Linked DNA regions of Solanum lycopersicum. The protein of the gene in region 3 binds, or shares a complex with, the protein of the main gene of each other region. Links are inferred from orthologs where the notes say so. Each region holds a gene or a part of one and is shown on either strand. Other genes may lie near its edges. The genes, in order: mediator of RNA polymerase II transcription subunit 30, mediator of RNA polymerase II transcription subunit 15a, mediator of RNA polymerase II transcription subunit 25, MED18, mediator of RNA polymerase II transcription subunit 9, mediator of RNA polymerase II transcription subunit 32 and mediator of RNA polymerase II transcription subunit 14.

Region 1 (3,950 bases), on a different chromosome or scaffold from region 3:
CCGCGAGCAGCATATAGCAGGTGTCCGGCGATGACCAATTTTTTGAATCTAGCAGTAACTTCTGTACAAAAGAAGTGAAAAAAAAATAAAACAGTTTCTTAAGATTGAATACGTTGCTCTTTTGACATCTCTAACACCTCACCGATTTAATTGTATGGTTGAAGTTATAGCAGCAGAGTCATGTAGAACAGGGACTCTGCCATGTACATAGGTCAGCAAGAAGATCTCGAAGCTGGTCAATCAGAAGTTTGAGATGCTTGTTCTTGTCTACAAGCTCCTGCAATTTGTAAGAACAATAGAATATGCTTTAAATCTTGATCACAATAGCAACTTGATTTTTCACTACCGTAAGATAATAGAAAACTATTAGGCATGCACTCAAGTACGATAAAACTCTACCTTCACTTGAGGACTTCTTATTGCCACTAGGGGGAGACATAAAGCAAATGAAACAGGATTTGACTAATTTTAACGCAATAGGAATAAAATTAATAATAATACAGTATGTACAACAAGCAGAGGATGTTGAAACCAAGTTTTCATATGTTATCACAAAATCATATTGTTCTGATTTGAGGTTGTGACAAATATCGAGACTTGAGAAAGTTTGTACAGTAAGACATTTTGTCATGTGTCCGGAATGAAAATGTAACATGTAGTATACCTCAATATTGTTTTAATGGATAAGAAATTACTCAATGGATCAAGGAAGACATCAGTCAAGGTTCAAATATTGGCACACACATTTGCTTCACCAAACCCACCCATCATGCATCCCAAAAACCAACAAAAATCCAAGGAAATTCTAATATGTCAAAATTTGATATGTTATCAATACCTTCTTTAATGAAGAGGCCCGGTCTTCCAGCTGCTCAATTTCCGCTTGATCTGCTGCAGATAGTGAACCACTAGCAGAAGCAGCTTCCAATGCTTTTGCCTAGCTAACAAAGCCAGTAATGAGTGTGAAGTATCATACAATAAGTTAACAACTTTCCAAAATGTACAAGAAAATATAACTTGTTAATCATGAGAATTGAGACAACAGAAAGGAGAGTTTGACAACTTCCAGTTAAAACGGAGCAAATACTTGCACAACTCTTAAGAAAGAAGTTACTAAAAGAACTCATTTAATGTGTAGTCGGACATATGTTGAGCAACAAAAATGCACTCAACATCAGTGATTTATTTGTTCATACTGACAAACAAAATTCTTACTGCTTAACCAGATTCTCTCCAATGCACAAATGTTAAGGCAATCCATACACCAACACCAAGGACTTGAGATGTGATTATAGTGCTAATTCTTTCTTGAAAAGGATAACACGCAGTAGTTTATCTTGGTATAAACACTTATACCTCATGTGCGTTTAAACAGCAGAAACAAGAACAACCTCGAAAACATAGTTAAATATCTTCCCCCATCCCCAGCCCCCAACAGCCACCCACAAACCCAGAAGAATATAAGACAAATCAGAAAAAGAGTAAGCAGCACAGTTGAGCTTCATCAACTGATGACGAGGGATGATCAAACGACTGAATATTATATTCATAGTGAAGAAATATTATCCCCATGTCTAGAACATCAAAATATACAATTGCCATGTGCAAATGTTGCTCATATTGGTAAGGGCAAATTGTGCTAGTATATAACCACATGATGTCTTTCCCATATCAATCACCAAAACTGTTTAACCCCTTGTTTTGTGATTAAGATCAATCACCAAACACTTTTCACACTGAATTTACCTTTATCGCTAGATAATGTCTTTTTTTTTCTGCTCAAACTGGATAATGTTTTTCTCTCCTACAGTACTCCGAAGGAACTACATTTCTAGAATATCTATTTGAGTTTCATTCCCAATCAAAACTACCATCTAACAGAACACCAACACCACCTATGGCTCAACACAAGCTGGTTGGTGGTGGAAGTATACGAATCCTCCATATCCATATGGAACCACTTCACTCCAGTATCAAATAGTTTTAACCTTTGGAACCTCTAAAACTAGAGGTTATCTACGTTGGATCCAAATCTTTGCGGTCACGTTGAACTACCTTTGGCATTGAACAAAGCCCCAGTCTTTTACACATTTTCTGTTTAATGGACTTCACTAGAAGTGATTCATTCATATAGCTGAACCGAACTAGTTTATGATCAAGCCATTGTTGATTCATGATTACATCAAACTAACTTTTCCTGAGATCACTATCTTAAATTACAGATATCACACAATTACAAAAATGTTTTAAAAAATTGCATTTTTATACGTAAAATTACCTTTTGGGAATTAGAAATTGCAGTAAGAACAGAACGCAAGGAAGCAATAGAGGACTTATAACGCAGACGAGATTCATCAAGAGCACCACCACCAATATCCAAATGCTGAGCTGAAGCAGAAGAAGACGAAGAAGTATCAGACGAAATGTCGCCGTTTGTATGGTGCTGCTGTCCATTACTCAAAACACCACTAGCACCAACTCCTCCACCGGCCACCGCCACCGCAGAAGAAGCAGCAGCTGTATTTAGAGTGGACCAAAGTGATGGATTACAGAGTTCATCGTTCATGGCGGAGAGAATTTGATGTGCTGCTTCTATTGTATCTTCTAAATGCTTTTGCCCTTCTACTGCTAGTTCTTGTATGGTTTTAGGGCTTGTAATTGTGCCTTTATCCTCCATACCGGGTAATGTCACCGGCTTGTCAAAACCCTAGATCGACGGCGGCGGTAGTGGTGGCGATCGGCGGTGCGAGAAGTTGTAAGGAGAATTAATTTAAGCATAAAATGACGTCGTTTTATGCGTGGCGTGTACTTTTTGGGCCGGGTAAGGAGCTATGTATTACTGGATCAAGCCCAAAATCAAGTTACTTGGGTCAAAATTCAAGGAAAAATTATATAAATTAATACATTTTAATAAATAATTACTGATTTTAGCGATACTTTTTATTTATTGTCATTTATAGCAATATTATGTAAAATCTGCAATATGAATTAAAAGTGAATTATGTATGCAATGTACGTGAATTATAAGTTGTTTTTTGAAATATATTAAGTTTGTTTACTAAATTTGACACATTCTATTATAAATGTATTAAAATGTGTGAAAAACGTATTATCCATCGTTAAAATTTGTATTATATGTAATATTAAATTGTTATTTATAATATGTATAAAACTTGTATTATAAATAAATTAAAACTGATTAAGTAATTTTTTTTTATTATTGCTATAAATGGTAAATATTTTTTTAATTATAGTACGTGTATATAAGTTCCCCGAAATTCAATGGGGGAAAGAAGTGCACAAATATCTGTGTTTAACGTTGCAGAAAAATTACCAGATTACATAAACATTCCTATCATATTTACTACGTAGTTTTTTTTTCATAATTTTGAAAAGTTACGCATCGTCTTCTAATTAGTAATTTCATACTAGATGTCAAGTCATATAGACCTAGATGCATGTAATATACTACTATATACACTTTAAAATATAAACTTATAGAAAAAAAGACGAGTGAAAAAGACGTAAAGTGAATGAGAGAGAGTCTATGTATCGCAAATAGATGCAAACTAAAAAAAGTGTGATTCCAATTAAAATTAAAAAGCGAAAGAAGAAATGTTTAAAAACTTCCATTTGAGATTTTGAAAGAAACAAATCAAAGATTCCTTTTTTTTTATTCAACGTGCCATTAATACCTAATTAAAAAAAGACAACACCATTCGAATCGATAATTAGTCTTATTGTGCATTTTAATAATAGAAATTAAAATATTATATATATATAATATTCTTTCTATTTCATTTTATAAGACACTTTTCAGATTTTAAAATTCAAATAAATTTATTTTATAAAAAGGAAAAAATGACAAATATATTCTCGAACTACCGTAAATGATATGCAGATACCTTCAGTCATTATTTTGGGACATTGATGTCTCTGTCGTTCATAAA
Region 2 (3,500 bases), on a different chromosome or scaffold from region 3:
ACAGCAAGGGTCTAGTTCCAAGATGTGATAATAGACCAGCCCAACCAGGAGGAATTAGAATATACTTTTCTATAATTGTCTGGGAGATATAATATTGTTTAGTGTGAAAACATCATTTTTTTTCACTTTACACCTTTATTACCAGTAAAGCAAAATGAGGGTAAACAATGAATAACAACAATGTAGTTTACTTCACAAGTAAAAAGGCATGTTGATGTTATATCTTTATTCTTGGCGAACACAAAATATTCCAACTTACACTTCTAGCTAGTAAACCAAGTCAGGTATTTAAGTACAAAAAGCTAGAGGGACAGACCCATTATCATCCACATTCCAAAACAGGCAACAATGAATTTCTCGTGATATCCCAAAAAACAGAAACAAAAACCGTTACCAACTAATACAGATGATGTGCCTTTTCACAAAGAACAATATTTTCTTAAGCCATATATTCAAGTATATACTTCCTGCATGAATAGATTTACCCTTTAATGTAGCAATTAATTCTTTAGTTTCCATGGAATAAAACAAATTAGGTACATATTATGAGGACCCTGACCCAAACTTACGGACATATCACACCTCGTGAATTCAGACAATACATAACAACATTCAACTATTTCTAATCACTTCATCAAAAAATAAATGTAACCAACCAATTTATTTACTTCACTTCCCAATTATGCCAGTAGAAAGTGTAAGGAAATTCAAGTGCTATAATTTTGGATTGAGAGGGGCTCAAATGAAGCAACATAAGACAACAATAATTCATATAACAGACGCTAATTTGATTAACATTGAGGCGTAATAGTTGTTGTACCTCACTTCTCAATTGAGAATAAATCAATTTCTTACAAGTAAGCTGCAATAACCTTAATTCTATAGTGCTTCTACGAATTGGAACACCGTAAAAGTGCTTTGCGGGAATGGATATGACCATGAATTTGCTGAATACTTATTTTGATAAACCTCCTCTATTAATCCATCAATCACAAAAAATATTTCACAGCATTCAGCTACTTCTTATATTGTTGCAACCAGTCAATTTATCAAAATACAGTTCACTTGTCAATTTCCAAAACAACAATTTCCAGTAATTTCCTCAGTTCTCAACATGCCGTGCAGATAGAAATACCATCGAAAAAAATACCTTTTGGTAAACCTCCTCCTGCCAATCAGCTGCATTTGCATTTCCCGTCTGAGCTGTAGAATCTAAAGATGCTACAAATAAACCAAAAGTTAAGGATAGCACAAAAATATTGAAGGACTTGACTCCTTACAGCATTAAAATTTCAGGCAAATTTTGGGATATGAAAGGTGTTGGATATTTCAGATAAGTATGAATATTATCTAAAATATCCACCACCTTTCATATCCCAAAACTTGCCTGAAAGTACTAGTCATTTTTACATAAAGAAAATGTAAACCAGTGGTTAACATAGTGTAGAAGTCCTATACCTTCACACATATAAGGCATGAAAGGTGGAAATATCTAAGAATGACAAACTGCTACAGAGTGATTTATGAGACCTAATTGAAAGCTTTGATTAAGAAAAATACATACTTGAAGAGGCTTCAGGTGCGACTCTTTGTGATTGATATAGCTGCTTCTGCTGTTCCATTACATTTTGCTGTTGAAGCAAGGGGGCTGATGGTTGAAGCCTCTGTTGCATCTCCCTTTGCAATTGATTCGCCTGTTGCTGCAAACCCAAAGGTGGCTGTAACTGTCCTGGTTGTGATTGACTTTGAGACATCATTTGCTGTTGTGCTGGCTGCGACTGCGATTGTTGACCTTGATTTGGTAACAAGGTTGTAGTACTCTGCAGCATTTGTTGTTGTACAGGAACTTTTGGTTGTTGCATCAAATGAATAGGGTGCTGATTAGATGTCAAGCCAGAGTTACCAGGTTGTTGACTTCCAGACAGCTGTTGTTGCTGGACCCCAGCAATACTACTTTGAGAGCCCAACTGCTGCTGATGCATATTTTGAAAGTTGTTTTGCTGATGCATATAGTTGTTCTGTTGGCCCACTAGCCTCTGCTGCACATCAGGCATTGCATTCTGTTGACTCATCAATTGGTTCTGCTGGAGATTTGCAACATTTGTCTGTTGTGCAATCAGCTGCTGCTGCTGTTGTTGTTGTTGTTGGTGCTGTTGAGCTGGTAAAATTGGTGGCTGTAGCATTGACGATTGCTGTTGATGAAGCATGGGAGCCTGCTGCTGTCTCATAACTGATTGTTGCCGTTGGTGAAGTACAGATTGAGTTGACTGTTGAACAGTCGACTGTTGACTCTGCTGAAGGTTGGACAAAGAAGTTGATTGTATTGAAGAAGGTTGCATCATAGCTTGCTGAGAAGGTTGTGTCTGAGTAGGTTGTAGAAGGTTTTGTTGCTGCTGCGGTAGTTGTTGCTGCTGCTCCTGCGGCTGCTGCTGTTGCTGCATGTGAGATTGCATCAAGGACTGTGATGTGCTTCCCGGCTGAAATTTCTGCTTCATCATTTGATGTTGATGCAGTTGCTGCTGGTACATATATTGCTGTGTTGTCTGGGACTGCTGCTGTTGCTGTTGAGAAACAACCTGTTGTTGTCTTCCCTGCATCTGCCTCTGAGAATTAGCAACCATATTAGGAGGCATGCCTTGCCCAATGGCATTTCCTACCAAGTTTTGACCAACATTTGGCATGTTTTGCATGGTTTGCAAATTTGAATTCTGGCCCACGACATTTGGCATGGTACCCTGCGTCAAATTACTCACAGAAGGAAGTGAAGGAGCCAAGCTAGCAGAATTTTGCAGCCCAGTCGATGCCATATTGTTCTGAAGGTTTTGCTGCAACAGTGGTTGTCGTGTTTGAGTTTGATTGGCCACCATAGGTACAGGAAGTTGCTGTGCTTGGCTGTTGACTTGGGATTGCATACTGTGCGATCCTACAGAAATGAATAAAAAAGAAGCCAGTCAAGATGCTATCAAATAACCAGCAAACATAATAACATTAAAATAAAATACAAACAAGCAGCAAAAGTAAACACGTATTTTTTAGTTTAAGATACAAGAAACAGAAGTCATAGCTTTGTGAAAACTGATTCGAAAATACAAAAGAGAAGTTTGACTAAGTTACTTATTAGACAAATAAACAACAAGAATAGTCTGGATATAGAGAAAGAGCAGGGCTAGGACTCTGACCTAGAGCACAAACAATACTTATTAGGGCTAGTCACCAAAATTATAGATCACTCAAAGATTAGCACAATGGTTCAAGCATCTAAAATTTCCTTTACACTTATTAGCTACAGAGAACAAACTTTTCAACAGCAGAACGAAGTAATTAGGTTTACACAAAACGTCCTGTCATACAAGTTTTCCCTATTTGAAATAGAGCACATGAGATTTCATTGTTCACCTGGACCAAGGGCATTCTGACCACTACTAGCAGGATTTGGCTGAACAGAATTGGTCATAGGAGGTTGAGATTTTGTCTCCATGGTCAGCATCTTTAAAGATATC
Region 3 (3,500 bases):
CGATCGGGATGACGAAAAATTATAGCAAAATAATCAGAGTTCTTGAAAAGAACAGCAGTTCAAAAAATTGAATAAATACCAACCCAGTTTCTCATTGTAGTATATAACTTGCATATTATCACACTATTCAAGGGTATAGACATATCCTCAGTATAAACTATAAGTTCAAAATTGTGGTCTTACAACCTCAAATATGATTTTGCTGGTTCTGCGCAAAGTCTAAAACAATTGTTTCTTTCAAAAGTTAAAGTAATTGGTTATGCATCAGAATAAGTTCTATCCTCAGCCCCAAACATCAGAGCAACCATTAGCAATTCACTAATATTATGTTATGGTTCAAGCAAATCAAACTGTAAGGTGCCTTAGGAAAACTCAAAACAGTGCACTCAAAATAGTTCTCACAGAAAAAGACTTCGAAGCATTAAAGGCCTGAGCTATCTTTTACCTCACCAAGATAACTATACCAGAGTTAACAAAGCATTAGAGGAAAAAAAAAAGCGAAAGAGCCAGCTGAATTCAAAATTATTACCCCTCTCAACTATATGCATATCACTGAATTCAACAAAAGCAAAAACTACATTGCTTATCTGGTAGAACAATTGCTATATGCAAAACCACATGGTTAGTTTTAACTAACAATTTTGGTCTAGCCCTTAGCATCACAAGATGGCAGTATAGGACTTCACTTCGACTGCCACACTGTTTTAAAAGAGTTTTAACAGACTACAATTTGCATGGAAACACTGTTGTTTCAGTTCCTAAAAAATGTAATTTGGAAGCACCAGCATAAAATATACAAATTTAAATCATCCTCATACTTACCCACCAGTCCACCCACAAAATCAAACTCCATCTTACCTCTTAATATTGTTCCTTCATTATCTCTGTAGTATTTACATCTGGCACATTAGGTTCATTTTCTGAGACTGACATCTGAAATGAATCAGAAAGAAGGAACCCAGCAACTAAACACGAGGTAGCCGCTAGGTGTGAAAAGACAACTAAGATTGGAGATAGCTGATTTTCCAGAAAATCCATTTATAGTAGAGCATATATTCATTCCAAATCCACTTCAAAGATTTCTTTGCCAATTTACAGAATTATCAGGAAATTACTCAAATACCCCTCTTAATTATAACTGCATCTTAATAATCAAATAGTATAGGCGACTGGATATCAAAGTTCAAACACCCCAAAAATAACAATTGTGAATCCAACACAAAATGGAAGGATGAAACTGACTGAGAGACATTATAGCTGGTGCCCAGAGAAATGGTGCAAATATCGCAGTCATGGCAACCCACTAGGTCCTATCGGGCGCGTCTTAAATTCCCCCTTAAATCATAATCACCATATATATGCAATAAACACCTAACAGTTACTACAAAATAATTTTTGGCATTGTGACTCATAATTATTATATTGAAATGACCACATTGTTACACCACATAACAGAAATGAGATACAGAAAGTTCGTCAAGAAAATCACATGTTATAGTGGCCTCTTAATGGTGAAAAACAAAAAAAAAAATCCCATTTCCGTAAGTATCAGATATAGAAATCTCAACAGATATTGTATGGCCAAATCATTTCAGAATTACAGACTGATTGATTTAAAGCAAAATAAGAAGTTCCAGCAGAGAACATCAAGAAAATATAACCTGTGACATTCTAAAAGAACATATATGTAAAATTCATATTTTATCTGTTGTTCGGGCGATGAAAATTTAAAGGCATGAGTTAGTTTCTATAGGAAATTAGGAACAAAGTCCGCAGTCCAGTTTCAGCCTTTCTACTGATTAATCGGTCTTACCTCCCAAACTTTGACATATTTTGATTGAGCTGATGGCAATGCACCAGATGTTTGCTGTTGAGATAGAGGCATGTTCGCTGATGTGCTGTTCACACCAACTGGTTGCATGCCTGGTTGTCCTTGTTGAGACATCCCTGGAGTAGGCATCATTGTGCCAGTTCCGGAAGGCAAACCAGTTGCACCCAGCCCAGTCAGCATATTCTGGTTCATCCCTGTCCCACTTGGCATCATTTGTGTGCCTGGTATATTACCTTGGCTCATTGCAGGAACCGTTTGACCAGACATACTGGGAGCAGTTGAAGTGAATGAAGAAGGAGCTGAGTTTTGTGTATTCTGTGCACTTCCTGCTAGTGGAACAGCCCCAGTCATTGTTGTCACACCTGATTGCCCAGATGATAATACAGCTTGAGAAGCAGGGACGGAAGATGCCATTCCACTAGATATCATACTTGAAAGCATAGGGGTGCCACCCATAGATTGCAGTCCTATAGAAGTCCCCCCGCCTAGAACTTGGTGTGCCTGAGCAACACCGTTCAAGATTTTGACATTTGCTGCTGCAGCAGCAACCGGACGTAAGGACTGAGTCATACCACTGACTATGGGTTTCATCTCCTGAACATTCTCAGTATGTGATACCATCTCCTGAGAAACAGAAAGAGGAGAAGAAGCTTGCAAACTTGGAACCGGTTGAAGAGCAGGACGAACAGACGGAATATGTGAAAATCCAGGTCCAGTCATGGGGGTCACAGTGTTGGGCTCCTGAAAACAAATATTATAATATCATAGCATCTATGAAATATCTGTGTAGCGAGCAGGTGTACAAGTTGTTGAATCTTACAATTTTTACAGTTGCCGGAGGAATATTTCCAGCGGAAATTGGTGGTCGACTGATAACAGATACATTTGCTGAGAGGTAAATAAAAAGAGAATTAGTATCCCTCCAACAGTACAATTGCAGAGTAATTTATATATCCCAGCATACTATATATTAGACTACAGTAATACACTTATAAACATTTATCCAGTAACTTTTTTATCAACTAAAACTGTAATTTTAGAGAGTTCTCAACATTATGTAACATAATTAATCCTCAGATAAGATAAAAAGATGTATACATGTAAAAGATGCCAAAAGTATCATCACCATGTGGCCACATTCACCTCAACCAAATTAGGGAAGACTAGGGGAGGGATAAATTGAAATTTTTAGCAATAGACAGTAGACACTACAGCTGAATTAAGAGTTGAACAGTTCAGCAATTAGTTGTCTATCCAACTGATCGTGCTTGAACTCCAAAAACTGAAACAAATTACACATGAAAAAGATTACACAGAACGAATTGCACAGTGGAATGAAATCATTCCCCAACATATATCAGGATGAATAAAGTTCAAATATTGGTTTTACTTATTTTTCTATGGGTTAAATGTTTTGTCTATTGAACAGCTTGACCCTGCCGACTTCAAAATAAAGAGGGGGCTATTATTCTTAGTTTTCCTTTATTGCACATTTGGACTTTGTTAGTGTTTAGGTATACTTTCACAGTATTGTTAAGTGTTCCACACTGGACAAGTACAAATATCCTCATTGTAAAGTCTGTTGATAAAGGAATAGAAGTGTGAGAAACTAAAGTCACACAAGTTTTTCCCCATGTTCTTTGGTATTAGCGTGAAAAATTTACTGTGC
Region 4 (4,218 bases), on a different chromosome or scaffold from region 3:
GTTTGCTTTTTTTCCTTGTCTAACCAAGAGGAGAAATCAGTCTTCAACATACTTTATGAATTGTGATGATGATATGACAAATGCGTAGACAACCACAAGGGGTCAACATATATTTGTGGGAGCCAAGGTTAATTAATCAACCGTCTTCCATATTTAAGGTATAATAATACCTTGACTATTATAATAAAAAGAAATACACTTAGCCAAGAAGGTTATAGTAGTTAGATGTAATCGAGATATACACCAGTGATTTGGAAGGTGATTAGCTGAAGGTGCTCTGAATTTAAGGTTTTCTATTTCCTTAGATATTACTACAAGCGAGAGGAATAATCAATGTTGAGTGTAATAGAGAGAGGCACTTATAACTTAGAGATCAATATTGATTGGTGGACAGTGAACACCATACACTAATCATAAGTGAAGTCTAGATTCAACTCCTTCTGATTAGAACAAAAAAGTCTATATTCAACTCGTTTAATGAACTGATGGATACTCTTTCACCATCATTCATGTCATAGAACTCTTATTTATATTTCATTTTAGTCAAAAACATTCCGCCTGCTTATCTGATTACTCGAATAGTAATTGAGCAACACTAATTAGGATAGCAGAAACTCAATCCTTGTGGGATCAACATCTGCCATACTATCTTTAACAGGAAACAAGCATTGTTTTAATACTCCGACGTTACCCTCATCAACATGTCAAAGAATCACATGTACATCATCGCAGAGAATCACATCTGTATCATCGACAAAACCATGATAGGCAACACTTTGTTGAAAACAAGGCACTCAACAGTCAACAAGTGAATGAGCAAAAACCATGTGGTCTCGACCTATAAATTAGATGTACTGAAAGTGAATCATACTTGAACCTAATTCCATTCAATAATTGACATGCAGCACCACAGTACAACTAGAATAAGATGGACCATAAAAAAATTATCAGCTATGTACAAACTCAAAGGTGAGAAAACCTCCCTACGAATGCATAGATGGTTGTGAGCATTTGCCTCAGCCACATCAGTACATACATGACCATTGGGTTAGTTCCTAGTTCCATAATAGTTCAAAGAGAAAATACACTTACCTAGGTTAGGGACACTTTTAAGGCACAGTTCATGAATCCTTAAGCTTTGTTTATGTACACCACAAAGCCCTTGAAGCAGAATTTCCAGGGCCTCGACATGCTGCAAGTATGATTAGCACTGTCAAGATCTTTTCAATAATCAATTGCCAAAAACTGTTTCAGTAAATGCCGTAGTATACCTTTTACAAGTAGCATACCTTCTAAAAGATTGAATAAGAAAAAAACGAGAAATAGGGGGAGGTTTTATCATTACTCCAGGAACTTACTTGAGTCTCAATAATTCCCTGAACCACACACTCCATTCGCACTTCAATTTATTCAAACCTACATGCAAAGAACTCTTTAGAACATACCTATGAACCAAAAAGATATTAAGTTTAACAGAAGAGTAACAACGAAAAAGCTAACACCTAACCAAAATCATAACAAAGTTGACACTCTTTGTATGAGAAGTGCATTGCTTGAAGATTAATGGATCTTAATATGAATTTAGTTTTGGATTGAGGCTTAAAGTTTTTGCCCGGATTGCCCCTATTTTGGGGTGGTCTTCAATTATTGCCTTTTCCATCCATAATTAGAAATTTAAGCATTTGGTCATTACTTGTCTTTTGGTACACCCAAATTCTCACCAAGATTTTAAGCATGAAACTTCTAATGATCCAATATGCACCAAAAACTGTCAAACTTGCTCCTTTCATTAGGCTATGACCAAACAACCTTAAGTTTTACTAAGTTTCTTCAAAGAAATAGGTAGTAGTGCTGGAATGGTATCAAGTTTTATCAATGAAGTCACTCCACCATGGGTGATTCTTTTCATGTGGAAAATTAGTCACTTGGACACATAGCTTAACTCCTGTTTGGCAAATATTTTCTACATACGTACAACAACATATATACATTCTATCCTCCCCATAGTCCACTTGTGGGATTTCACAAGGTATGTTGTTGTCATTGTTATATGATGGAGCATGTGCTCAGCAAAAACAACGAATGACTACAAAAATGGAGGAAAGAAAGAGAAAATGGAAAAGGAGAAGAATGGGTGAAGAAAAGACAATACCTTGGACTATATGGTATATGTTGCCTTTGGTTTTTTTCGACTATTTTGGCATCAAAATATGATTTTTCTAGTGCCTGTACAATTTGATCTTTGTTTAACATATCTTTATTGTTATACATCTGTTTTTTCAAAGTTTCTACATCAAACTCCAAATTTTATCATCTATACACACTATTGTATGACATATAAAACACAATCATTTAGCATTGTAGAACTAAACATAAAACATCAGAGCAAAAAATTGAAAGAATTACCTTGAACAGTTGAAGCAATCTCACTTTTTCCCCCAATCTGAGCTGCAAAAATTCAATTAAAAAAAATAGTTCGAAAGCTTAAACAGGCAGACCTAAATTAATCACATAACAAAAAATCAACGATAACAACGAGCCAAAGAAAAAAAAATTCTAGCTAGAAATCTAGGTTTCTATATCAAACAAGGTCCAATTGTAACAAAAAATCCAGTTTTCTACATCAAACAAGGTCCAATTGTAACAAAAAAATCTAGGTTTCTACATCAAACAAGGTCCAATTAATCACATAACAAAAAATCAACAGTAAAAACGAGCCAAAGAGAGATTTTTTCTAGCAAGAAAAATATGTTTCTACGATCAATTGTAAAATTAAGGTTTAGTAATGCAAGCTATGGCTGAGAGAAACCAAAACAATTAGCAGTAACAGAGATAATATGGTGATTTAGTGCTCAATGAAGTGGTCGAAAATATCAAAAAAGTCGAAACTCAAGACATAGGGTTGGAATAATACCTATTGCGAAAAGTGACAAGTATCTCGTAGAATCAATTGAAAATATTAGCGGATTCTTTTCATACGAGTGGATAAATGTCTGTTACGAAAATTTGATTAGTATCTTATATAATTAATTAAAAAATATTAATGGATTCTTTCTATAGGAATGGATAAAATAATTTGATACCTTATACGAAAAATTGATTATTACGAAATTCTTTGATAAAATGATTTTGATACCTTTTACGAAAATTGATAACACGAAATTCTTTCTATATGAATGGATAAAATAATTTGATACTTTTTACGAAAATTAATTATTGCAAAATTCTTTCTATATAAATGAATAAAATGATTTGATTCCTTTTACGAAAAATGATTATTATAGAAAGTGACGAGTATCTCGTAGAATTATTAGAGAAAAGTGGTACTTAGCAGAAGAGAAAATGGTTTGAAAATTTTGGACCCGAATTCGAGTTTAGGCCCATAATTAATTAAGCGACTCAAAGTATAATTTGATAAAATTGTAAGAACCCGATTGAATCTAAACTCAAAATTCAGGGACCAATATTGCAATTTTACATTCCACCTCTTCCAGAAAAAACCCTAAAACCTCGATAACGAAGAAGAAGAAGAAATAATGGGATCGAAAAAATGTCAAGTATGTGATGAAGCACAGTCGAGATACAAGTGTCCCAATTGCTTCATCCCCTTGTAATTATATTTCCATCTTTTTTCATTCTTTGAAATTTATTTGAATTTTAATTCTGGGTTTTGAGTTTGTTTTTAGTTTAAACTGAAGGGGAATGGATATAGATTATTCATACAAAATTCAGAGTAAAAATTTTTATATGTAGAAAAACATCATAATTGTAGCAAATAGAGATATGAATTTGTTGATAAGAAACTTAGGTTTCGTTTGGTAACTAGTTAGAATTATGCAGTTATTTTTTATGTCCGGCATAAAATAATATATAAATTTCTTCGTAGCTTATATATGTATTAGTCATGTAGCTTTCTAAATTGCGGACTTTTATACATTGAAATCATTGCAAAGAACCTTAGGTGTCGTTTGGGAGCCGGTTAGAATTATGCAACTGTCAGTTATCTATCTTATGTCAGGCATAGAATAAATACACAAATTTTTCTCATAACTTATATTTGTATTAGTTATATGCGGATTTCTAAAGTGCATATTTTTATACATAAATTTGTCGCAAAGAACCTTAGGTGTGTTAGGTAGCTGGTTAGAATTATTAGCTGTTTGTTATCTATCTTATGCCTGGCATAAAATAATGCATAAATTTCTCATAACTAAGGTG
Region 5 (4,076 bases), on a different chromosome or scaffold from region 3:
CAAGAGGTCCTCAGTTGCAACATGTTTTTTAAAACATAAAACACACTCTCTTTTCAATTATGTGTAAGAGATCTGTATTAAGTGACTTATTAGGTATACACATTCTCAAGATTTTATTTTAAAGAAAAAATTAAAGATTATTATTTATTATTATACTTTTGAGTATTTCTAAAGTATCTTTCTATTTAGAAAAAGTAAAATAGTTAAGAATTTGAAAATAGGAGAAAAAAACTCATCATAATCGTGAAAGTCACTCTCAAAAGGCTCATCATAGCCCTTTTTGTGACTCGACTCAAGCTCATCATACATTATTCGATATTTGAACTATTCAGTTATTTAAATTACAAAAAACACTCGACAATTTATTTCATATGAACTAGAGGGAGTATATTTCAAGCAAAAATTATTTTGTGACTTTTGTCCATTAGTTTTGATTTATTCCATCGATAGTTTTATCATTTTAAATTTCCGCAAGATTTAGTTACTAAGTGATGTGTAATTTAATTTCTCACACATTTGCAAAAATAAATTTTGTGTACCCACTTCGCTAAAAAAATTATCGACTCTTTTAAAGTTTGAACAACCTCGGCGAAATTTCTGGCTCCGCCACTATTTGGCGAGTAACATACTCATCATACACTTTCTTGGATATATCGCGTTAATTCATTCATCATCAAGATAAATGATTTTGATCTAAAAGTTGATGTCTGGTGCAACCTCTTCATAGTGGAAAAGTGCTTTTTTTTCTTCTAGGTCTTGACTCCTTCATACATGTCCTTGATCTTCTAAATATACGTCATAGAGTCTGGCATTAATACATACATTTTATGAACCCTAAACACCCAAAGGGACCTCCAAAAAAATTTGGTGTGTGTTTTATAGAGGGTCCCTTTTAGTGTTTAGGGTTTAAAAAGTGTCCGTTTTGATATCAGACTTCTACATACCTCCAATTTCCAAACATCTCCAAAAAACCTCCTTCAAGACTCTGTCTAAAAAACTTTCCAATCAATGAACATCATATGCAAGTTTTTCTATTTGACTGTACTTATTTATCAATCTCTTTATAATGACTTTTGAATACATGTGAAACATGCTTAGATATCAAGTGTATAGAATAAATTATATCTAATTTTGACTCATATGTATCTATTTTGTAAAGTTCTAAGAGAAAATATAATTAGAAAGTATAGTTTCAACCGATAAATAACACAAATGTAAATGTGTGTTTTGTGTTGTTTCCTCTTAATTTAAATACAATTCATTCAAATTTGAATGCACTAGTGATCTACTTTTTTATTAGTTCAATCTATTTCAGTTTGTTAAAATATTAGTTCATATATAAATCAAATCGGTTAATGAAAAGTGAGTTTTATGTATTTTGAATTAGTATTTTAATTATTAAAAATTATCTATTTTTTTTTAATACATACTAAATTTTATACTATAGAAAATGTTAAAATTTCTAAATTAGCTTGTTTGCTCTTGAAATCGAAACCTCCCCACAAATTGGGACAGCGGGAGTAATTTCAATTTTGCTATTTGAAAAAACAGAGGATTTTCCGTTGGGGTTTAACCGGATCGGGCCTTTTCATCTCCGGTAATCTTTCTCGTTTTGTAATTCTCATCGTACTTCTGCTTTGTTATTAACTGTACTAGTTGTGGTTTCAGTAAAGTTTAGCTTCGTATAGTTGTGAATTCATTCTCTTGTGGCGGCTTAAATCAAGGGTTTGGTTGTCAGTGTTATAGCAAACGAAGATTCTGTTCAGAAGATTTAGAGTTCTTTTTTGTTGGAAATTTTGAGGTTGTGATTTTGACCTAAAACTGTTAATTTCATAGATAGAGAGATATTTGTATGTTAGTAATAGGGAACCTCTAGGGTTATGAAAACCTAAATTATTGAATATTGGAATAGATGGGGTTCTAATGGAGAGAATTCATATAGTAAACCCAAACTAATTCGGGATTGAGGCATACTTCTTGATTACTGAGCTAAATTAGAGATAAAGAGTAAGAGGTGCAGTTGGGATTGATTCATTTCTCACTTTAATAACTATCTAATTTTACAGTTTTAGGTTTTGTAAACTTTTTTAGTGCATACTAATAACTATCTACCCTTTTGGTTTGCTTGGGATTGCTAGCTCCTTAGCTTTAGTTTAGGATACTTGTATGAGTGCTGAGATTTTTTTTATGCCCTTCCGAATTAGAGCTAAGCGGTCGCATATTTTGTAATCTGGCATCTACCCGATGCCCATTCAAGGATAATTTTTAACCTTATCAAAAAGACATAGTTGCAGCAGTAATTTTTTCCGATGTACCTATTGATTTAACAATGTGAACACCAAATTTATACAGATGTCATGGTAGTTTTTACTTGGAGATAAGAGTTTACTGTTTGTTAAATTTCAAAGAAGAGTTTACTGTTTGTTACGAGGGATGGGCTTCAGTTTTAGAGGGTCTCACTTGATGGCTTTGTTCTCTTTGGTACAAAAGAACTATTCTTGTAATAAGATGTGGATGAAATGTCATTTAGGAATGATGGGAAATATATTTTTGAAGTGGTTTGTACATTTCAGAATCTTAGGAATTATTTCTCTTTGCTACTCAGTCCATTAGGCCAGTTCATGCTTTGATAGTTTTGGCTATTTGTGTAGTACTTGATTACATCTGATGACATTAATTTTATCCATTTTAGAACCAAAGTACCAACAGATTTCAGCTCAACAGCCATTAGTTATGGACCACTTTGGAGGAGGAAGTTGGACAATGATCCCCAACATCCAAACTCACAGTAATCCTTCGACACCCTCCAATCAAGACAATTTATTTCTTCAGCAACAGCAATTTCAACAACAACAGTTCATTCAACCGCAGCTCTATCAGCAACAACAGCAGCAGCAGCAGCAACAACAACAACGGTATCAACAACAGATGCAACAGCAACAAATGCAGCAGCAGCAACAGATGCAGCAGCAGCAAATGCAGCAACAACAACAACAGCAGCAGCAAATGCAGCAACAACAACAACAGCAGCAGCAGCAACAACAACAACAGCACCACCAATCACTTGCCTCTCACTTCCATCTTTTACAAGTATTGGGCAAAAACCATGATCTGTAGCTTGCTATTTTAATAGAGTAACGAGACATTTCTCTTTCCTAGTGAGACCTTTTGTTCTAACTTTTATTGTCATCTTACAGCTGGTGGAGAATTTAGCTGATACAATTGAAAATGGAAATCGAGATCAGCACTCAGATGCATTGGTTTGTTCATTTCTTGATTGATGCATTATATGTTAGTTTTCCATTTCTTCTACATTAAACCGGGTGTATTTTTCCTCACCAGGTAACTGAATTGAAAAATCAGTTTGAGAAGTGCCAGCAGCTGTTGACATCAATATCAGGGTCTATTAGCTCAAGATCTATGGTATTTCATTTTCACACATATCCTTTGATTTCTGTTGTAACTTGTTCTGAACACACCCCCAACTCAAAAAATAAAAAGAAAAAAGAGAGAGACTCCAACAAAGAGTTAAGCGCAATAATATGAAAACAGAACTTCAAAATTATTCTTTTCTGGAAGAGTTGGATTGTTTTTCTTTTGGCAGTGTTATTGCTTTTAATTGTGCTTTTCCATTTGGGCCTGTTTGTTCAACTTATAGTTGTGAAGAATTTTACTGAAAAGTGGGGTTCAATATGTTTGAAACGATGTTGACTTGAACAAAGTTGCTCCACAAATTCTTATTTGGTTGCATGTTTTGATGCTTAAATATGGGTAAGATAATTGACCAGTCCTGTGTTCTTTGGACAGACAGTTGAGGGACAAAAGCGCAAAAAGGCAGAGTGCGAACAAATGCTAAATCAGCGAAGGTTTGTATTATATATATATAAAACACACACACACACACATATATATATGTGTGTGTGTGTGTGTTTCTAATATTGTCTACTGAAATTTGTATAATTATTATTTGCTTCATCTGATGGTCATGTTTCATGCTTAATTACAGGGATCTTATTTCGAGGTACAAAGGCTCAGTTGAGGAGATTATTAACTCTGAACTATAGCTCATACTCGCA
Region 6 (3,679 bases), on a different chromosome or scaffold from region 3:
CAAAAGATGCTCTTAAGCATTGTATGTTGCCTCAAAACCCATTTCTTCTTGGGTCTGCATAAAATTAATGAAAAGAGCGTTGTTTTTTCTGATATATATAGCTTTATAGAGTAGCCTCTGCTTGTCATCCCTTCAGACGATTCTCAATAACCATCAGAACTTTTACATCATAGATCTCTCATTTACTAGTATTAGTTTGCGTTATTGGACAAAGACGTTTCCAAGTGCAGTGACAAGTGAGAACTTCTGTTTTCAAAGTTATTATACAGTACAACTAAATATTAGACTGAGATAAGGTTAAATGGAGCGACATGGATACTGAGCATTTGTGTAGCAATCAAGATGTAGTTGTAAGCTAAAGCGTATTTACTAATACTGCTACACTCAAAGCGTCATAATACTCTGTTGCAACAATTCCAGAGGTCTCCAAAGCCTACTGAATGAGTTCATCAGGGTTAACACAATTAACTAAAAAGCCACTTTACAAGATTGGAGATATATTTCCTAACAAAAATCGATTATAAACATAAATACTCGAGAATATAAGGTACACATAGCAGACACAAACATACAGCCTGTTTGTATATGTTGGTATGCTTAAGATCTAAATAAAGCTAACAGTGCAGTAGCTCATACTGCGATAAAAGTAAATCTCTGTGCCTAGAAAACACAAATGTAAATTTGCCAGATCTTCTCATAAGATGGCGAGGGAGGGAGGCGGTAAAGGTGGTTTACAAATATCATTCCAAAGTATTTCTTCTACATCGTTACAACATGACTTCATACATCAAACATCAACTTTAGCGGCTTACTAAGGCACATAAGATCTTCTGTTTCTCTCTGCTGATCACCAGACTCTGTAGTTACCTGAAAACAGTCACAACTAATAGTTCTTTGTTTTACAGCGATGAAAACAGAATAAAACGAAACCAATTTTTTTTTTCTAGTTTCCATTTGTCTGTCAGAAGTGTTGGGTCAAACTCAGCTTAATAAGTAAGGATAGTACATAATTGATCATAAAAAAAGAAGTTGGGTCAAACTTAGCTTAATAAGTAAGGATAGTATTCTTCATAAATAAAGTAAGGATAGTACATATAACATAATTGCTGCAGAAACTAGTGGTTACTCACAGTTATTCGTTCTGATGGAAGAGAACATATGATGCCACTAAAAAGCAGTTTTGTTAGCTTCTACTACTTTTCTATCAACCTGGAAATTTATACAAGACCAGCGGTTTTGTAATAGCAGCTCTTATATATGAATCAGTTTCAGTTCCAAGGGAATGTTCACTTATTTGCTTCATCATCAAGTCTAGGATACAAAGCCTATCACTAATAGTTCATTAAATAATACAAATTTGTTTCCAGATTATTTAACATAGTCAACGGAAACGACAAGGACAGGAAGTATCAGCGAGATTTCAGTATACCTATTGAGCTGCATCTTCAGAAAATCTGGCATCAAATGGAGCAGAAGGATTGGGATGTACTGCTGAAGCACTATTCGCTCCAGAACCATGTTGCAGTTCTATCACTAGCCATCTTACAGCTTTACTCATCTGCTCCAACCTAACAGCACTAATGGGTTGAAGGCCACTTGCAGCTGGTTGCCCAGGCTTCCCTGAAACAGTGCCTGTAGCCTCATCCACAAGACACTCGGAGCCAATTCTTTGCTTAACCGATTCCACAAACTCCTCCGCCTGATCACACGCAACCCTGAACAACTCCCACTTTTGCTTAAAGTTTTCTAATGCAGCATCAGTTGCTGCTGTTTTCTGACCATTAGAACTCTCCTTTGATTCAAGTACAACAGCTGATGCTGCAACAAAGTCTTGATATGCACTGCTCAGTGCATCTACGAGATTATCCATCACAACCCCTCGAAGCCCTAATTGATCACTAACCTCCGTAAATCTATAAAGGAGAGAATAAATTAGCAAGAACATCATTAAAAATTTAATCTTTGTATCAAGACCATCATTAAAAATTGAATCTTTATAGCAACAACATCATTAAAATTGAATCTTTAGCAAGACCATCACTAAAAATTGAATCTTTGTAGTAATTTCATCATTAAAAATTGAATCTTTGTACAACAATTAAAGAGCTATTATGCTATCAAATTCTGCATACAAAAACAAACCCAAGAAACAATTTTCTATGATTACCCAAAACACTCAAAAGCAAGAAATCAACTGAAACAAAATTGATGCAATACACAAATTTCTTGAAAATACTCAAATAAATTTAAGCAAATGAAAAGAAGAAAAACCACAAAGACTAGGGTTTTTCTACTTACTTGACTGAAGGAAGAAAATGGCTTCCACAATCTTCTCCTCTGTCTTTTTTTGGTTTTTTTCTCTTCTCCCCTCACTCTGTTTCGAAATAATTACATATTCCTCCCCAATAGTTTTCATTTGTAACACAAAGCTTCCCTTTAGTTTCAAAATTAATATTTTAGAGTGTAAGATTTTTAAAATATATTTGAATAAAATCATAATTGAGTAATAATTGTTTGAGTTTCTAATAATTATTTATATATATACGAGTGCTATTTTATTGGACTAAAGGAGTAGTATTATTTATGTATCTTAATTTTTATTTTATTTGTATTTTCATCATTAGTATTATATATTAAGTGTTCTATGTACATTAAAATGAGACATATATTTTTTTTCATTTGTTAGTGTTATATATTATTGATGAGTAATTATATTATATGTGATGAATAAAATTAATTTTACATTAATGTTTAAATTAAATATTTTGTTTAATTGCTCAAACTTGTCAAATTCATCGGTGACCTCCTAAACTTGCTATCGATTTTCACTTAGAACACCTAAATTAGGCGATGTTCATTTTAGACACCTCGTGTAGGGTTCTGTTGTGTCATTTTGGCACTTTTTGCTGACATGTCAAAGTGAGTGTGATACACTTAACAATAGCGCGTGAAAGACTTAATTTAGCCATTTTTAATTTTATTTTATCTTCTTCTTCTCCAAGCCACCACCCCCTTTTTTTTCGAATTTAAATTCCTTCAATGGAGGTCAAATTTTTTATTCAAATTCGTTGTTAAGTCATTTTCTTCTTCATCATTGTATTACTTATCTAAGTCTATCTTCACCTCACTCTATTTTTTGCCGGAAAAATGGATACCAACACCCATATTTCATGTTTATTCTCTCCCTCCTTTCTTTTTTTAAAGAAAAACAATACTAAAAAGAAGAATAAATATGAAAAATAGTAAAAGAAAATAATATTTTTTTGTAAAGCACAAAAGAGATTTGAGTGTAATGAAATAAGAAATTTTCGTAGAATAATATTTTAAATTTTTTTACTAAATAGATTTTATAATTATTTTTAACTGAAAATAATACATGTAATTATTTAATTGATTGTTTGCCACGTCATCAACGAGTGTATTACACATTTACACTCTCCTTTAGTTTTTTATTTATTGTCAGAAAAGTATCAAAATGACACAGTTGAACCTTACATGGGGTGTTTAAAATGAACATCGCCTGATTGAGGTATCTAAGTGAAAATTGGTGCCAAGTTTAGGGGCCATCGATGGATTTGACCTAACATTTTTCATACGCATACAATATCACATAAGACCAACTTTTATTTCACATTTATTATTAGAAAAATTACTGAAATATACTTTTTATATTCTTCTT
Region 7 (4,036 bases), on a different chromosome or scaffold from region 3:
GTGAAACATGTATCATGACTAGATAAAGTGGATGCAAGCTGCTGACTGTATTGTATCAACGGGACCTGCAAACCAGATAATTGTGTTGGTACTTTAAATACGGAGTTTGAACTGCAGTTTCTACGAGATCAATGATAAAGAATATAGGGCCAACCGTTGATTCTAAGGGTCCAGGAAGATTTGACAACCATATTTCTACTCACCTAGATACTGAATATAATACAAGTGTATCTTTCCTTCCAGAAAAAGACAGATGAAGAAATGAAGACATGAAAGGGAGAAGAAAGACATGAAGACAAACCTTGTACATAGCATTACCAACATATACCTCGAAAGAGTTTATTAAATCAAAGATTAAAGGTTCAAATGATGCTACAGAAAGTTGTTTGAAGCAAGATCTACAGGAAACTCATAGCTCTTTTGGTGTGACAGCAGTTCCATTGTTCCCACCCCACCCTATTTCTTTTACACATACTCTTTCTCCCAAGATTAGAAATGGGATAAGTCCTACTGTTCCTGGTTTGTCCTTCCTTTCCATGTTTTTGGCGTAATTGTTAGGTGACAAAGATCCAGTAGTTTTAGAGCGTGAAGAGTGATTGTGATTCTTTGAATTAGGTGGAGTGTGTGCTGTGTAAAATTATGTGCATATGTCCAGAAATATTGAGGTCTTTTAGTGGTGTTCATTGGCATCAATGGAGAAGAGGAGTTCACAGTGGTGGTTTTTTTTTGTCAAAACGTGACCAAAAATGGTCATCAATTTATTATAATTAAAAACATAGTGCAAAACAAGTTGGTCCAGAACAAAACAAAATAAAATAAAATAAAATAAAATAAACCCAAATTGTTAATTGCCCAAAGAGCAAAATTGTTCAGCTTTTTGTATATTGGAAACCTCTTCATCTTCTCCCTTCTTCAACGAACTGATCGCCAGATTGCTCATCTTCTCTACCATCTCATCAGAAAATGACAGTCTTCACGGTGGTTTAAGTGGTGGACAGAGGCGTTGCTGAAAAAAAAAGGTGATCGAAAGTTGTGAATGATGAAAATTTCGAGGAGAATGGAGGTCTTTAATTTTTTTGGGAAGTGGTTACCGATAAAGATGGAAAGTTATGGTGGTATATCAGATGTAAGAAATGGAAAGAGGTGGTCAAGGGATAGAGACGGTGAGGGAGAAATGGAGTGAATAAGGAAAAAAATTGAAAACTTCAAAATAAAGTTAAAAATAAATGACATGTCATTAAAAATCTGAAGGGTCAAAGGGGTTTAGAAGATTGTGTTTCATTGAGTCTAAAAGTTCAGTCGACAAAGTCGTGAATAGAAGGGCTTTGTTGGAGGTCTCAAGTTCGAAACACCTTGCATGTGAAAGCAAGGGGGTTTGCCTTCTGAGTCGCCTGGTGCGGGTTACCTCTCCTATGTGGTTTGCGAGCTATTGCATAGGAGTGGGGTTTTACCCTATGTGCACCCAAAAGGCAGCGGCTCCAGGTTTCCCTTGTCATAAAAAAAAAGGCGAGAATAGAAGGGTCTAATCGACAATCCGATTCAAATACAAGGGTCTCTTGGATCATTCCGCCTTTCATCAAATAAGCTGTTGGTACAACTTGAACAGAGCATCGTACAATCTTAAAACCTTTGAAGTTGTCCTCAACTTTTGTTTTCTTTTGGCAATTGTCCTCGACATTCACTATAACTAGAACTTCCACCCTAACTATCTGATTTTAAGTTTTAAATTACTCCTCGTGGTCCATCTTTTCCCAATTCCTAAAACAACATCCACCCTACTCATTTCACGGCTACCTTTCTAATCTTAATCAAGATCCATTTTTCTCCATTCCAACTCACAAATTTCACAAAAACAAATACATGACCAATATACATTCTGTCACTACTCTCTCAATGCATCAATAAAGAAAGAGAAAATCCTCTCCTTTTCCTCTTTCCAATTCACAAATCCTGAAACAAAAGAAACCCTAGAAGTCGAAAACTACTCTTCGCACCCCTCAACAAAGAAGAAAGAAGGCACACTTCTTATAACCCTTAAAGAACTCAAACATAGAATCCCCATCTGCCTAAGCCTGGAAAGAAAATTTTCCCCGTACCTATGCCGGTGGGAGGTAACGGGTACCTTTGGATTAATAAAGGGGGTCACAAATTGGGAAAAACACATCATTATATCTAAAAAATTAAAAAAAGATAGTGTTCAATCTTGAATGCATCAACATACATAATGAGAGAGGGAGTGAATAGATTAAAAAAAAAAGAAAACAACCTGCTGGCACCATTTGGATAGGACATTGAGACGAAGCATACGCTGCTGAGTCTTAACTACATATTTAAGAATCCCAATTTTCTTCTCAGAATCAGATAAGTTAGACGACTTGCACTTCTCCACCAATTCCTTCAACGTAACATACGACTCCTCAGCTGCTCTGCTTACCAGTGCCGAGAAATCCACCGTCTGCTGCCCTAATTCCGCCATCTCCGCAAAACCCTCCGATTAAATTACTCCGACGATCCCGAATTCCTACTAATACAATGCCATTTAATGAAAATTGACCGCCCAAACAATCAATTACTATTAGGGTTTGTAAAAATTGTGGAATTTGAAACAAAATATGAATCTCCGACCTGTAGAGAGAGTGAATGAAGCGAGTGTTGTTCTATTTTTTTTTTCCCTTTTTGATAGATCGGATGTCTGAAGGTAACGCGTAACGGCGGAAGGGAGAGGGTGTGCAAAATTGGAATATGGTACTACTAGTCGGAGAGAAGTCAAAACTAATATAAAACCTCTAAAGTTCTATTTGACCAAGTTTATAAAAATTCATCTCCTTAAATCATGTTGATTTAGAAAAAAATATAATATTTAGAAAGTTTCCATATAAAAATATTTATTAAGTGTGCGAAAAAATATTTTTATTGCGTTTTTTGATATACCTTTCAAAGTATGTGAAGCCTAAATATTGTTTGAGCTTATCTGTTGAGCGGTAAGAACTTATCTATTATTTTATTTTTTCTTTAAAACGGTGTTTAACAATCATTCATTTATTATTCATCTGTGACCTGAATTATTCTTCATGAAACTTAAATTTCTTGATTTACGCGTCTAATAAATCATTGCGAATTTACTTCTGGTATACTTGTTTAAAAAATTATCACGTAATAGTGAAATCTAATTATTATAGTCATAGTATTCGCCCACTTGTTTGTCCAGGTCCAGAGATGAACATGTCCTCGTAGTCCCTTATTACTCCGCCCCAGTTTCAGAATTCTCTTTCAAGAAATTACACATTTCTTGATTTTCTTAAAGTGATGATGGCTTCGTCTATTTGATAATTATATGCACCGTTACATTATTTATTCGTCAAAAAGTTTTAACTATTATTTTCAAATATTGTTTCACTACAAATTTTCAAGCTTTAAACTGGTTATTTTCACATTAATGAAGAAGATCAACATCTCTGAATATATGGAGTTTCATTCTCATGTTTGGAGGCATACCTTAACCTCAAAAACTATCACGTAATTAAAATTAAATAATGCATTGAGGTATAATGATGAAGGGAGATTCCGTCAATTTCATTATGAGATATATGACACTTATGCAATCAAACGCTTTAGCATAAATTCAAATTAGTTTCGTTTATAGGATCACTCTTTTCATTCTCTCATTTTTTATAGTGTGTTTTAATAGCTTGATGTCTGTATCTTAAATATCACATTTATTTTATACAACTAGATCATCATAGTCCATATATATTATTTGGACATTTTCAATAACCTAAAATTTAGGTTTGTGTATTGGACGGATCAGATGGATAGTTATGCTTAATTATTTGGCTTGTCGGATATTGATTTTTAAATAGACTGATCCACTAGCCAACTAATAAGGTAATGGTTCATTTAATGTCGGATTGGTAATTAAGGAATGGTGCATTGGCTCAATTGTTTCATGCTTTCTTTTTCACTTTCACCCACTAATATATCAATCTTCGATCAAACAAAATATTTTTTAGCTCTACTTAAGCAGATAAATGATAAT

The links.
Region 1: mediator of RNA polymerase II transcription subunit 25 (region 3) and mediator of RNA polymerase II transcription subunit 30 share a complex: the UniProt entries of both Arabidopsis thaliana proteins name them as parts of the mediator complex. The link is inferred for Solanum lycopersicum from reciprocal best matches to the Arabidopsis thaliana genes PFT1 and AT5G63480.
Region 2: mediator of RNA polymerase II transcription subunit 25 (region 3) and mediator of RNA polymerase II transcription subunit 15a share a complex: the UniProt entries of both Arabidopsis thaliana proteins name them as parts of the mediator complex. The link is inferred for Solanum lycopersicum from reciprocal best matches to the Arabidopsis thaliana genes PFT1 and NRB4.
Region 4: mediator of RNA polymerase II transcription subunit 25 (region 3) and MED18 share a complex: the UniProt entries of both Arabidopsis thaliana proteins name them as parts of the mediator complex. The link is inferred for Solanum lycopersicum from reciprocal best matches to the Arabidopsis thaliana genes PFT1 and AT2G22370.
Region 5: mediator of RNA polymerase II transcription subunit 25 (region 3) and mediator of RNA polymerase II transcription subunit 9 share a complex: the UniProt entries of both Arabidopsis thaliana proteins name them as parts of the mediator complex. The link is inferred for Solanum lycopersicum from reciprocal best matches to the Arabidopsis thaliana genes PFT1 and MED9.
Region 6: mediator of RNA polymerase II transcription subunit 25 (region 3) and mediator of RNA polymerase II transcription subunit 32 share a complex: the UniProt entries of both Arabidopsis thaliana proteins name them as parts of the mediator complex. The link is inferred for Solanum lycopersicum from reciprocal best matches to the Arabidopsis thaliana genes PFT1 and MED32.
Region 7: mediator of RNA polymerase II transcription subunit 25 (region 3) and mediator of RNA polymerase II transcription subunit 14 share a complex: the UniProt entries of both Arabidopsis thaliana proteins name them as parts of the mediator complex. The link is inferred for Solanum lycopersicum from reciprocal best matches to the Arabidopsis thaliana genes PFT1 and SWP.

The regions. Positions count from the first base shown.
Region 1 is NC_090807.1:2,029,146-2,033,095, forward strand, and holds the start of mediator of RNA polymerase II transcription subunit 30, read right to left. Parts: upstream 2,801-3,950; 5' UTR 2,678-2,800; coding exon 2,279-2,677; intron 938-2,278; coding exon 839-937; intron 278-838; coding exon 179-277; 3' UTR 143-178; intron 62-142; 3' UTR 1-61. UniProt on the Arabidopsis thaliana protein: Component of the Mediator complex, a coactivator involved in the regulated transcription of nearly all RNA polymerase II-dependent genes.
Region 2 is NC_090803.1:3,495,266-3,498,765, reverse strand, and holds part of mediator of RNA polymerase II transcription subunit 15a, read right to left. Parts: coding exon 3,397-3,500; intron 2,924-3,396; coding exon 1,565-2,923; intron 1,222-1,564; coding exon 1,151-1,221; intron 1-1,150. UniProt on the Arabidopsis thaliana protein: Component of the Mediator complex, a coactivator involved in the regulated transcription of nearly all RNA polymerase II-dependent genes.
Region 3 is NC_090811.1:29,971,890-29,975,389, forward strand, and holds part of mediator of RNA polymerase II transcription subunit 25, read right to left. Parts: intron 2,720-3,500; coding exon 2,652-2,719; intron 2,573-2,651; coding exon 1,814-2,572; intron 1-1,813. UniProt on the Arabidopsis thaliana protein: Component of the Mediator complex, a coactivator involved in the regulated transcription of nearly all RNA polymerase II-dependent genes.
Region 4 is NC_090805.1:1,888,056-1,892,273, forward strand, and holds the start of MED18 (mediator of RNA polymerase II transcription subunit 18), read right to left. Parts: upstream 2,801-4,218; 5' UTR 2,407-2,800; intron 2,227-2,406; exon of another isoform or gene 2,153-2,226; intron 1,417-2,152; 5' UTR 1,395-1,416; coding exon 1,359-1,394; intron 1,193-1,358; coding exon 1,093-1,192; intron 1-1,092. Other genes in the region: ZNHIT (zinc finger HIT-type containing protein), read left to right, coding at 3,537-3,610. UniProt on the Arabidopsis thaliana protein: Component of the Mediator complex, a coactivator involved in the regulated transcription of nearly all RNA polymerase II-dependent genes.
Region 5 is NC_090801.1:55,598,840-55,602,915, forward strand, and holds the start of mediator of RNA polymerase II transcription subunit 9, read left to right. Parts: upstream 1-1,276; 5' UTR 1,277-1,597; intron 1,598-2,692; 5' UTR 2,693-2,733; coding exon 2,734-3,090; intron 3,091-3,197; coding exon 3,198-3,260; intron 3,261-3,342; coding exon 3,343-3,423; intron 3,424-3,807; coding exon 3,808-3,866; intron 3,867-4,006; coding exon 4,007-4,064; 3' UTR 4,065-4,076. UniProt on the Arabidopsis thaliana protein: Component of the Mediator complex, a coactivator involved in the regulated transcription of nearly all RNA polymerase II-dependent genes.
Region 6 is NC_090807.1:64,223,280-64,226,958, forward strand, and holds mediator of RNA polymerase II transcription subunit 32, read right to left. Parts: upstream 2,445-3,679; 5' UTR 2,299-2,444; intron 2,297-2,298; exon of another isoform or gene 2,168-2,296; intron 1,914-2,167; 5' UTR 1,871-1,913; coding exon 1,430-1,870; intron 884-1,429; exon of another isoform or gene 868-883; 3' UTR 501-867; downstream 1-500. UniProt on the Arabidopsis thaliana protein: Component of the Mediator complex, a coactivator involved in the regulated transcription of nearly all RNA polymerase II-dependent genes.
Region 7 is NC_090800.1:84,078,038-84,082,073, forward strand, and holds the start of mediator of RNA polymerase II transcription subunit 14, read right to left. Parts: upstream 2,801-4,036; 5' UTR 2,477-2,800; coding exon 2,267-2,476; intron 66-2,266; coding exon 1-65. UniProt on the Arabidopsis thaliana protein: Component of the Mediator complex, a coactivator involved in the regulated transcription of nearly all RNA polymerase II-dependent genes.